Callithrix jacchus: one gene and its partners. The protein of the gene in region 3 purifies or fractionates together with the protein of the main gene of each other region. This does not show direct contact. Links are inferred from orthologs where the notes say so. Each region holds a gene or a part of one and is shown on either strand. Other genes may lie near its edges. The genes, in order: RUNX2, SKI and SMAD1.

What was found.
Region 1: the proteins of SMAD1 (region 3) and RUNX2 purify together in Homo sapiens (affinity purification with western blotting; 3 studies listed by BioGRID). This does not show direct contact. The link is inferred for Callithrix jacchus from reciprocal best matches to the Homo sapiens genes SMAD1 and RUNX2.
Region 2: the proteins of SMAD1 (region 3) and SKI purify together in Homo sapiens (affinity purification with western blotting, with the first as the bait; 3 studies listed by BioGRID). This does not show direct contact. The link is inferred for Callithrix jacchus from reciprocal best matches to the Homo sapiens genes SMAD1 and SKI.

What each region holds. Positions count from the first base shown.
Region 1 is NC_133505.1:53,756,577-53,760,897, reverse strand, and holds the start of RUNX2 (runt-related transcription factor 2), read right to left. Parts: upstream 2,881-4,321; 5' UTR 2,879-2,880; coding exon of another isoform or gene 2,790-2,878; coding exon 2,417-2,789; intron 1-2,416. UniProt on the Homo sapiens protein: Transcription factor involved in osteoblastic differentiation and skeletal morphogenesis. Essential for the maturation of osteoblasts and both intramembranous and endochondral ossification.
Region 2 is NC_133508.1:40,346,250-40,349,883, reverse strand, and holds part of SKI (ski oncogene), read right to left. Parts: intron 1,446-3,634; coding exon 1,320-1,445; intron 1,140-1,319; coding exon 1,024-1,139; intron 312-1,023; coding exon 46-311; intron 1-45. UniProt on the Homo sapiens protein: May play a role in terminal differentiation of skeletal muscle cells but not in the determination of cells to the myogenic lineage. Functions as a repressor of TGF-beta signaling.
Region 3 is NC_133504.1:51,521,843-51,526,144, reverse strand, and holds the start of SMAD1 (mothers against decapentaplegic homolog 1), read left to right. Parts: upstream 1-1,470; 5' UTR 1,471-1,555; intron 1,556-1,655; exon of another isoform or gene 1,656-2,994; intron 2,995-4,302. UniProt on the Homo sapiens protein: Transcriptional modulator that plays a role in various cellular processes, including embryonic development, cell differentiation, and tissue homeostasis.

The DNA of each region.
Region 1 (4,321 bases), on a different chromosome or scaffold from region 3:
GACAGATTTTGAGCTGTACAGATTGAAAATTTTTAACTCAAGGTGAAGTATGCTGAGGGATCAAGGACACTGAGACATATTCTCCTACACACACACACACACGCACACACACATACACACACACACTCACTCATTGTATTTGAGGTGAGCCAGTTGTTAATATGTGATTTGTTTCTCACCTAGGAAAAGCCTAAACTTTAACTATTTTACAAAATTAGAGCACATACGTATGACATCTCATTAGTTCGTTGTGATAATCATTATATAATAATCTAAAGCCTGAAGTGAGGTTTTAGACTTCACATAGATTATAGAATGGGGAAATGTTTGCAATGTGATGATAACCTATACATGATGTTTACTACTCACCTGTAATTAGTCTGAGGTAGTGGGTTCATGTTAAGTTCTCAATTGAGGGCTTAAGATACTGTTTGGGAGCTGGGAAAAGGGAAGGTGAAACCCACTTTTCAGAAGAGGAAGAATTGGTTGTAATGTTAAAAAGAAGTTCACTACTGTGCCTTACTTAGAATTCGGTCAAGTTTTGGAAATTTTAATGTAGAATAGTTATTAAGAATGTTACAGAAATATAAGATCCCTGTTATGATAGAATAAGAAGCATTTTAATATATTCTTTGTGACAGTTTTAACAGATTCTTTGTGTAGCTATACTTCTAATACTGAAGAATTTTTTGAAACTTTTGTTCCTGATCCAGTTTTTAAAATGTATTTAAAATGTAGTTAAACACAGTGATATTGTTTAAGAGTAACTTAACTGTCTCTGTTATCCCTCCCTGATACCTCTGTTATCCCTGTTTCAAATGATCCCTCTGTGTAACAGTAGTCTTTACCATTCTTTATCCTTTTATCTCTTTGGTAGTAGTAACAAAAGTTTCAATGTATTAGGTATAATTATGCTATGTGTTATAATGTAGTCTAGCTGTATTTATGTCCTGCTTCCTTAATATAGGAATTTTTAGAATGATACTTAGTACGCATCATTAAATTTTTAAATTAATCTGGATTATTATATTGTATATATTATAACTTAGGGGGCCCACTTACAGTTATTGAGGGAGTCACTACAGCAATTTTACATTTTTTTTGTAAAATACTGTACATTTTCATTACCCTATAAGAGAAAGCATTTTTTCTCCTTTGAAGTTTTTTATCTTTGACCTAAACTAAGACTGATCCTCTAGTAGTAGCCAGTTAAAGTGCGTGAAGTAGGAGGAGTAAAGGAAACTCCAGTCATTAGTTGTAAGTTAAAAGCAAAGTTAATATAGATGTACACAGCAAAAAAATTTAAAGGATATGAGAAAAAATTTTAAAAACTTGCCTTGTATTGGAACATGTTGGACGTCATAAAGAGAATCTTGTAAGTGTGTTTAAATATTTTACTATAATACATTAGCTGATGAATGTTAAAGTCATTTGCATATCTATATCAACACTAAGTTGAAATTAAATACTAGGGACTATATTATGCCTGCTTCTTTTAAAGGCCAGTATGGTTTAATGGTTGTGGCTTTTAAAAATCATATGGGATATCCTTATGGAGCTTTATTTTTTATGAGACTAAACAGCAGTATTCATTTTGGTAGGTCCAAGAATGTGATTAAAAGAATCTTAGACGTTTCAGTGTTTGCTGTGTGTTTATAACAAGGTCTACTATGGATAACAGTGTGTGGATGTAAAATTAAAATTATGTAGAAAAATGCAGTTGCATATAAGTTTTAAAATACTTCCATGAACTTTAATATCCTGGGAAACTATAAAGATCTTTTAAAATTGGCTATGATGTGCTTATCATAATTTTGTTTCAGCTGAATGTATACTTATATATGGTTGTTTAGAAACAAACATTTAGATAGGATATAGTTTAAATTTATAAGTAGATTTCTTTTAGTTGAGCTGGTTAAAATGTTAATAGTATTACAGGTTTATTTCTGTGTTTTACATGGTAGACCATAATGTTGAGATAATTCTGTGGTCTGTTATTTTGTAAAATTGTTTCCTTTTTGAAGTTTGCTCAAATATTGGGAGCTGCCGGAGTCAATCATTTATAATGCTTTGATTAATTTAGAATCTGATTTTTCTTCTGGTGAGGGTTAATGAGAGTATTAAGCTGTTTCTTTTACTCTTTTCATATCCTCACTTCTGTAACTCTAGAAAACATTTTGATCAATGTGAGATAATTTAATTTTGTCTATTTCAAGTCATTACTTTGAAAATTAGATAACATTACAGATACCAAATGCAAATAGATACGGAAATTTCGTTTTCAATTCTTAATGCAACAAGATAGCATTATTAAGATCTTTAATATATTACTTGGAAAAGCTAGCAGTTTAAGAATCATACCTTTATGTTTAACAGGTTCATATCTTACAGGATTTAAAAATATGATAACACTTACCCCAAAAGAAGTTTTGCTGACATGGTGTCACTGTGCTGAAGAGGCTGTTTGATGCCATAGTCCCTCCTTTTTTTTTCAGATAGAACTTGTACCCTCTGTTGTAAATACTGCTTGCAGACTTAAACTGAAAATACAAACCATACCCAAACTTTGTTTTAGTTTTACAGTATGCCTGGAGTACATAGACTTTATATTTATTTTTTTCTGTCAAGAAATTATGTAGCTGGTAACATGTGAAAAGCAAAGAAACAAAACAAAAAGAGAATGAGCAAATATTTGAAGGACCTACTATTACTGCATAGACTGTGGTTAGAGAGCACTCACTGACTCTGTTGGTCTCGGTGGCTGGTAGTGACCTGCGGAGATTAACCATTTAAAAACCAGAGACTTCTTGCTGTCCTCCTGGAGAAAGTTTGCACCGCACTTGTGGTTCTGTGGTTGTTTGTGAGGCGAGTGAAGCATTCACACAATCCAAAAAAGCAAAAGCTTTAAAACTCCTTTTTTTTTTGCAAGCACTATTACTGGAGAGGCAGAATCATGTGGTTTGTGACCTCACAGTACTCAAAGTAAAGTGGGACTGCCTACCACTGTGGCTTTTCCCCCTTGCTCTTTCTTTCTCTCTCTTTCTCTCTCTCTCTCTCTCACAAAAGGCTTGTGGTAAGGCCTTTCCTGGCATCCAGAAGGATATAGCTTTTTAATTTTTGTGACTCATGAGGATTTGGATAGAATACAAATGCTGAAGGAGCCCAAACTCCTGTAAGGTTAAGCATTTGTAGAGCAGAGTTCTGCAGTTAAGGACTTTCCTTTCTACTCTTCCCCCCCAACCCCTGCCTTTTTGCCTCCTCTTTTTAGTTCATTATTGTGTCTGTGGATAAATGAACAAAATTGGCTCAAGAGTCTGTGTGAAATTCTGAACAACAGTGATGATTTACAATAATTTACATCTTTGGACTGTATCACATTCTGGGGTCTGCTTCATATTTGCTGGGTGGCTGGATTCCTTCTGTTTTCCTTTTTCTTGTCTTCTTAAACTTGTGAATCTGTAACTCATTGTAAAAAAAAAAGTTTACCTTAAGGTCTGGTTGCAAACTGCTTGCTAGGCTTGACTGTAATTGGCTGTCATGAAAGTGTTAGTCTAGGCATTTTTTTTTTTACAAATTTTAAATTACAGCTGTCTAGTTTATTATCAATATTTTAGATGGCGGCCTTTACAATAACGATTAAATGTAATCTTTCATGTATACCGTTATCTCATGCCTAGTTGGAAGATCTTAAAAAAGTGAATGACAGGAATTGTAATATAGTTTATTGGATGAATCTTAGTTTTCTTTATGATTGTAATAATTTTTATCTTTCATGGAAGCGTATTCATTTTATATCATTCTTTAAGTAGTTTGGATGTTAACAAAGTGTCTGATAGCAGATCTTCTATAAAGTAAAATGCTTATGTTATAATGTAGATATTCACTTTAGATTCTGTGAGCTTAGAATAGAGTGGGTTAACAGAAGCTATATTTTTTTGTTTCTAAACCTTTGAAATAAATTACAAAATCCTGTGTGTAGTAAGGAATAATGCCCACAGACAGAGTATGTTAGTCGTCTCGATTTGCTAATTCTGATTCAGAAGAAAATTGGAAACATCTTTGGGAAACTATCTCCTTTTTTGCCCCTTTGGAGAAGTATGTATAGAACTCATTTTCTTATTAGGATGATTATATATTATAGGCAGTGGATTTTATATTTATGAATAGAGCTTCCTGTTTTCATCAGTTAGGAGCGATGGAGTATTTTTCAACAAAAATTATAAAGGCGAACAGACCAATTTTCTAGGCATTTTTTGCCATTTATCCATGCCACTCTAAATCTGCATGTTAGACTTCTTCCTAGTGTGATAGTAACTAGGAG
Region 2 (3,634 bases), on a different chromosome or scaffold from region 3:
CAACCCTCTCAGCCAGCCCCGGAGTAGGCACAGAAAGCGACTCACACGTACATTCCTCTCTGCTTTCAACTTCGACCTCAGCCTCCGAGTCCTTGTCCTCCTCCGGGGCAGCCACAGGCGCCAGTGTCTCTGGGACTCCTGGGGTGTCCACAGTCAGCTTCCGCTTCCGAGGCTGGGTACAAGCAGCGAGAGGCTCGGGGGCCCGGGAGAGGGCGGCAGCACACGGCGGGCTGTTCACAGCCTTCTGGGCCGGTGGTGCGAGAGCCACATTGGGGGCCACAGCCGTCTCAAAGCCCTTGTAGGAGTAGAAGCTGGAGGGGCAGGCAGGTGTTGGGAAGGTGCCTCTGTCCCCAAGCGCCACCCAGACCCATCCTGGTGGACACCCCCTCTGAAGGTGTTAAAAAGACTGGCCAAGCGCAGTGGCTCACGCCTGTAATCCCAACACTGGGAGGCCGAGGTGGGCAGATCACCTGAAGTCAGGAGTTCGAGCTCAGCCTGGCCAACATGGAGAAACCCTGTCTCTACTAAAAATACAAAACTTAGCCAGGTGTGGTGGTGGACACCTGTACTTCCAATTACATGAGAGGCTGAGGCAGGAGAATCACTTGAACCCAGAAGGAGGTTGCGGAGCCAAGATTGCGCCATTGCACTTCAGCCTGGGTGACAGAGCTGGACTCTGTCTCAAAAAAAAACGGCGGAAAGAGTTCCTTTCCCAGCTCCGAACCTTACAGGGAAGCTTTCGGTTCCTAAGGATCCATAAGCGTCTTCTGCTAGCTGGGTATCCCTTGCAGGTGGGACTTAGACTGACCATCGCATCCAGAGGCTGCACCCAGAGCACCAGGGAATGCTCTGCTCTGGGTGTGCCCATGCTAATGTCAGCCAAAGTGACCAGCACTGAGACTGCCTTGACCAAAAGGCAGCAGGTCTGGGCACCCGGCCTGCAGAAACACAGCGGGTCTGAGTGCGCAGCCCTTGTGGGGCCTCTGCTGTGGTCAGGAGCACCTGCAAGCAGCGCCCACTCACCTGTCTCGGATGAGGGCCGGGAGGTGTGGGGAGAGCTCTTTCTCACTCGCTGACACCGCAGGGGACCAGGGTCGGAAAGCAGAGAGGCGCTGGCGAGGATGAACACAGCCCAGGCTCTGTCGAGAAAGAGTCGTCTGTGTAAGTGACCGGAAGAAAAACAAGCCACTTTGTGTCCCCGAGGCTGCACCGGGTGCCAGCCCTTGGTAGGGGACAGGCAGAGCCACCAGTGCAGAGACTGCCCAAGAGGAAAGGCCCCGCATCCACCACCCCGAGGACCCCGACAGGCCCAGCAGCACCTTATTGGAAGAGCTGGCCAAGGTCCGCAGCCAGCTGGACGGCTTGTCCTTTTCGGAAGGCGCAGGGGACTGGGAAGAGGCGTCATCTGTTTTGGGTCTTATGGAGGCTGGGGGCTCAGAAGAGACCTGCGATCAATGAAAGGTCTTGTTGGCACCTCTGGTCCCCTGCGTAGGGTCCCTCCACCAGCCCCGTGGCCAGCACATGACTGTCAGAGCTCCAGGTACTCCGGCCACAAAGGACCCTTAGGGGCGCAGAAGGCAGATTCCAGGGCACCCCTCAGGAGGCTAGGTCTACTTTGCATAAAGGCCCTTGGGCCACATGCAAAAGGTGTGTGGAGGCTGTGCTGAGGCAGAAGTCGTTTCCAAGAGAACAGAGTGGACCTTGTCCTGCATTCCGGGTGACCTCACCCACAGCTGCAGTGGGGTTGGGGACGGAGCACCAGGACTCACTCTCCTCTTCCACAGCGACACAACCTGACCCCGAGTCCCCTTGTCCTTTCCTAGAACATGTGTTCTCAGAGAGTGCCCAGCAGGGCACTCAACTTAACCAGCCATGGTCCGGCAAGAGCCACTCCCAACGGATTTGTCTGGAAAGGGCGGCTGCAGCACAGGGGTGGCTCTTGGAAAGGGGATACCGTGCCCCTGGGGGCCCACTGGCACCGCAGCATTAAAGAGTGGGCATTCTGGCTGCCCCCCCGCCCCCCCAGGAAGCAAACATTTTCAAAACAAAGGACAGCGAAGGAGCCAGTTCTACAGGACGGCACCGCGCATACCTCTTCCTCCTTCCTTGCCAGCCACACTGCTGGAGGAAGCTTAGTAAGGTGCTTGGACCCAGCCCACCCAGAACCAGATGTTGTGTGTCAGGTGCCCGGGCACATCCCCCAAGAACCAGTGAGTTACACAGCTGTGTGCCAGGGCCTGAGTCGGCCACATCTAGCCTCAGGCAAACGTGAACTCCAGCACCGTGGCTGGAGAGCCCCAAGATGCGCTGGCTGCAAGGCACGATTGAAACCAAAGGACTCTTCCTCAAGCAAAACAACAGGGCGGTCTCTGGAAGACCAGCCGTCCCTCTACCACTGAAGACCCCAAAGGACAGCACAGAACCCCCAGGGCAGCTGCGTCAGAGTCCATACCATGAGCCAACACAGAACAAGCCTCATAAGGCAGGGGCCCTTCACAGGGGTGAGGTCCCCTCACTCTGCCAGGGCCAACCCCAAGTGGAGGCAGCGAGGTCAGGCGGTGGGGGTGCCGCACCTGTCCTCAGCCAGGAAGCCTTGGTGGGCAGAGCACACTCAGGCAGGGATGGGGGTTCTTCCCACCTCCAGGACTCGAGGAGAAGACGCTGTATCAGGAACCAGCCTCCTGAAGATGGCAGGGACCCTGCTTCCCTGGGGGAGAAGGGCGTGCAGGGGCAGGCCATCCATAAGGTGCCCCAATTACAGGGTTTTCACCACAAAACTCAAGAGGCTCAGGGGACAGGCTGGGCCCGGACGGAGAGCCCCAGGCCTCCCCTGCACCGACACCCACCCTGCAGCCCTCAGGGAACAAGCAGGGTGGGGCCCGGGGAGGGGCAGGCAGCGGCTCTGACCTGAGCCCAAGGGAGAAAGGTATGTCAGGCACACAGGGCCCTAGAGGCAGGGCGGGTGTGGGGCAGTGGCAGCCCAAAGGCATCCAGGACTGCAGATGGTTTTTTTCAGACACAAAAATAACCTTCAAGAAAAAAGACGCTGTAAATACCCCCTCTGTGGTGGCTTTTGAGGGGAAGTGAGTGTTGGTGACGTCTGGTGGAGGCCCTGACCGCAGGGCGCTGCGCCTGTGCCCAGCAGGGGTGGGTGCCATCCTAGCTGCAGCAGAGAGCCCCTTCCAGAATCATGTGGACCCTCCCGAGAGGCACAGAAGGCCAAGGCCACCCAGCCGAAGAGAGCTTCCTGTCTGAGCAGCCACTGAAGCGGGCGCAGAAATTCAGCTCAGTTCTCACCTGGGGAAAAGCCACAGCAGCTGGTGCTGACTCCAGGAGACCTCAGACACCCTGTGGGAAAGTGTCAATGCCTCAGGCAACTCCCAAGAAAGAACACCAGCGCCTAAGAACACAGCTCTGCCTGGCGGGCCCCCAACAGCCACCCTGCAGAGGTGGTGGGAGGACCGTAGGCCCATAGGTTCCCGGGCCCCATCCGCTCAGTGGGGGTGGCCGAGGGCCCTGCAGATCTAGAGAGCTGAGGCAGACGGGCTGGGGGCCATCCTTGGGTCCAGAGCCCCTGCGGTCCACCTGGGACGGGGAGGCTCCTGGTCTTGAGGGACCCTTCGGAGACACAACT
Region 3 (4,302 bases):
AATAAATAAATGCCATCTATAGGTTTAAAAAAAAATTACAGCTTTAAAATATCAGTTTATAGCTCCCCTCCCCGTTCAGGATCCAATCAAGGTCATATACTGCATTTCATTGTCATGCTTTTTTTTTTTTTAATAGCTTGAGGAAAATTCACATATCAAATGATTGACCCATTTAAAGTGTACAATTCAATGGCTTTTGGTATATCCACAGAACTGTGCAACCATCACCAGAAACTAATTTTAGAACAATTTTGTCACCCCATGACCTTTAGCTGTCACTCCCCAGGTTCCTCAATTCCTCAACCCTATGCAAACCAACAATCTACTTTCTGTCTCCATAGCCTTGCCTACTCTGAGCATTTCAGATATGTGGAAGAATACAATGTGTGGTCTTACTGTGTTATCTTCTTTCACTCCACATGTTTTGAAAGGTTATCCAGGTCACATGCATCAGTATCAGCACTTCATTCCTTTTTATGGCTGAATAATGTTCTCTTGTATGGGATATTTTGTACTGTTTATCAAGGGAGAGTTTTCAACAGGGGAGTGGCCTAATCTGAGTGGCATTTAAGAAGGTTCACTTTCCTGTTGTTCCAAGCAGCAGAGAATGACCAACTGCATCAAATGCTGCTTTTAGGGAAAATAGGATGAATTCCACGAATTGACCAGTAAGGGCGCAAATAGTTTAAGGAAAAAAGGAATTTACTATACATTGATATATGTTAATGATACACTGGATACACATGGCTGGGAGTGATGTTTTTTGCTTCATGTGAAATTTATTCCTCAAAAAATTATTCTTTTCTAAACGTCACTCAACGTTATGGTAATTATCCAAGATTTTATGCAGCTTCCAGAGAGTTGGCCAAGAGAAAAGTTGACTCTTGCAAGAAGATACTTTCAATGTCCATGCAGATCAGGTAGGTAAGAGTTAAGTTTGTTTTCGGGGTGTTGGCATCATCTAAAAGACTGTAGAAATTGGACCAAAATGTAGAGTTCTAAAGCAGTATCTCCTTGTGGCATGTTATTATTTGGAGCAACAAGGTTACCTACTCGAATCATTGTATCCTGAGTTGACACAAAACCCATCTGTTGACCCAGGGTTTGTATAAGCACGTGCAGTAGTTACTAGCTAACCACTTCTGGGTACGTTCAGCTTCTGGTGCCTGCAAATTATTGGAGAGTGAGTAAGGGACAACGAAAACTAGACATCAAAGGGCCAGTCTCGAAAGATAACTGTCAACATGCATTCCATATTTACAGAAGAGTTAATGAGCGTTTCAGAAAATAAACACATGGAGCATCGAAATTCACTTGCAGATAATGCACCAAGTCCACTCTACCGGGACTAAAGAAGGCAGGGTTAGGAAAGCCAGAACGCCGCCACGCTGTTTTTTCTCCAGGAATAAACGGAGCGTGGGGCTGGGGGTGGAAGGGGGTGACTCGGGCCGCTCCCCCTCGCCGTCCTCCAGCCCAGGCCGCGCTGCGCTCACGCCGGCCGGGCCGGGAATTTGGAGAGGATCCCTGGTCGCTCGGCAGCGGCGGCGGCGCGCGGGTGAGCGTGTGAGCGGGCGGGCGGGCAGGCGAGTGCGCCGGGCATTGGCAGCCGAGGAGTGGAGGCTGGGCGGCTCCGACTCCCTGACGCCAGCGCGACCAGATCAATCCAGGCTCCGGGAGAGAGCGGGCTGAAGGGCGGGCGGAGGAAGGAGAGGCCGAGCGGCTCAACCCGGGCCGAGGCGCGGGAGGGACCCTGGGAGCGGAGCGCGGCGCAGCACCAGGCCGGCCTGACCGGGGCCGCGGGACCCCGCTCTCCCGGCCACTCGTGCGCCCGCGCGGATGGGCGCGCCGCCAACCCGGTAAAACGAAACAGACCCGAACCCAACTTTCCCTTCATGCTGCGTCCACGCCTTCCCCTCGGCGCCCCGGGCTTTCCAGAGCTGACGCCTCTGTACGCGTGGGGCCGCCGCGGTCCTGCGGGGCCGGGGGCGCGGACGGCGGCGGGGAGGGGGCTCTTTCCGCGCGGGGCGGACCGCGACGCCCCCACCCCCCATGATGGCGCCTCCCGGCTGCTCTGAGGAGCGAACCTGCCACCGCGTCCTCTCCTCCTCGCGCCCAGCCCGCCAGGCTCCCCCGGCGTCTTTGTTGGGTCTTCTGCTGTGGGAAGCTGAGTTCCCGGCCCCCTCTAGCCTCGGCCCTCAGGCCTGACCGCGCCGGGACCTCCCCAGCCGCGCTCCCTCTCCGCGCGCTCCTCACATCTCTCCGGTGCTGCAGCCGGGCCGAGGCCAGTCCGCGCGGCCCCGGGCCCATTGTGTCCCCGCGCCGGCGGGGCGACCCCTGCGGGAGCTGGAGAACGGCCGCCGGCGCTGCCTTCCCAGGCGCCTGGAGGAACGGGTCTCGTGGGCGGGGGACCCTGGCGCCCCAGACCCCTCCACATCCCGCACGGGTTTCCTTCTCGGCCCTAGCGAGCCTCTTTGGGGTCGAGGTCAAGGAAAGTTCGCACCGAAATCCCCTCTAATTTATTCAAAGGTTTGGCCGCGGCGCGTAATTTTTTCCTCCTCTTCCGCCTACACCCGCTTCGTCTCCTGGTGTCTCATTCCTTTCCCTTGACCGCAGTCGATTGCCTCACTGCATGTGTATTCGTGAGTTCGCGTTGAACAACTGTTCCTTTACTCTGCTCCCCGTCTTTGTTAGTGTTTCTCGGGGTTGTTTCTGTAGGAAGGTGGGGGTGGTGGGCGTGAGAGACAGACGTGGGCTTGTTTTTCTAGTTGCTGAATCTGTAAGAAGGCTTTAAAGGGAGAACGTTTCCTTGATGATGTGCGTTAGGAGGGGAGGAGGAACAAATGCCTGCCAGATCTCACAACTACAGTAGCTGCGCTTTTGTTTATTTTGAAGCGCATGCAATTTTTAAATAGACGGTGCAAGACAACCAGTAAAGACGCGTTTCTGAAAATTGAGACCGATCTCAGAACCATCTCCTGGGAAAGCATCATTTTCGTGAGTGCCGAGACAACTGTCCTTTTTCTACGTCCCCCCCCCCCCCGCCCGCTCCCCAGTCTTTCTCTCCTTTCCACTGCATCTGAAGTTTCAAAGTACGTGGAATGATACAGAAGTTGCATTTCTGTTGTGTCTTCCTGTTGCTGGAACTCTCAGCTGCTAAATCTCAGAATGCCTTTATTTCAATAAGAACATCTTTGGCTCTAATTGCCTGTTGCGGGTAACTTGCCCACATTTCAGTAACACAGTGAGAAAACTGTTCCCTGCCCATGTTGATTTTTCATCTTGTTTGTAATTAAATTGTATTGAAGGTAGGTGAGCTGTATTAAAAAAGAATCGGGACAGAACCAGTGTTTACTGCCCCAGCATTTTCAATTGGTATAAATATTGTTGCATCAGTGTTATTCTGATGTAGGTGCCAGATCTAAATATGCTGTACTGATTAAAATGTTTGTTCTGCCCTCTCCCACTCTCCCATTTTCAGTTATTTGATATTTCTGTGCAGGTGGTGTATCATTGGTGGTGTAATACTGCAATTCTTAGTAAAGTTTAACTAGGGTTGTGAAAGATGATTTTTCTGGAGGTGGGTGATGCCAGAGGCTCTAGAGGATCCAGGAAGGATCGGGTTTCTTCTGAGGGTAGGGATTTGTCCTTGATTTAGTTTTGACCCCTGCAACCATAGGTATGTAACCAAATACATTTTTCCTCTTGCTGTATCCTTTGGTTTCATATCCTTGAAGAGCTGATGATCTTTGTGTTTTAGAGAAATGACAGTTTTTAGGCAATTAAAAAAACATTGACCTCTAAGACTTCTTGGAATTTAATTTTATTTCTACTAAGTTTAGTAAGGCAGTAAGATGAAGTAAGTCACATTTTCTCAACTGCATTTGTTACATTTATTAGTTAAAAACTAAATTTCACTTTGTAATTTCGATTTCTAGCAATTCTGGGTTAAAGATAAAATCTAATAACTTAGTAGATTGAAAATAAGAAGTAACTTGGGTGTAATTAGACAAACATGTTTAAGCTGCAGTAGCCTCCATAATCAAGGCCAAGTGTGTGTGTATAACAGATCTCATTTGTGTAGTCTTACAAAGCTAATGGAAGCATCACTGAGGCTTTATAAATAATGTAAGTTGTGTATAATGTAGAGTCTCCAGAGACTGCAGAGAAAGCATCATTACCAGGCTTTTCAACCTGCTTGAGATCTTAAATTGATTTACAGCACTGAACTAGTGCAAAATGATACATCAGGATGACATGGGGTCAGCCTGTAAAAGTCTATGATGTCAGCCTATTAGTTCAGTC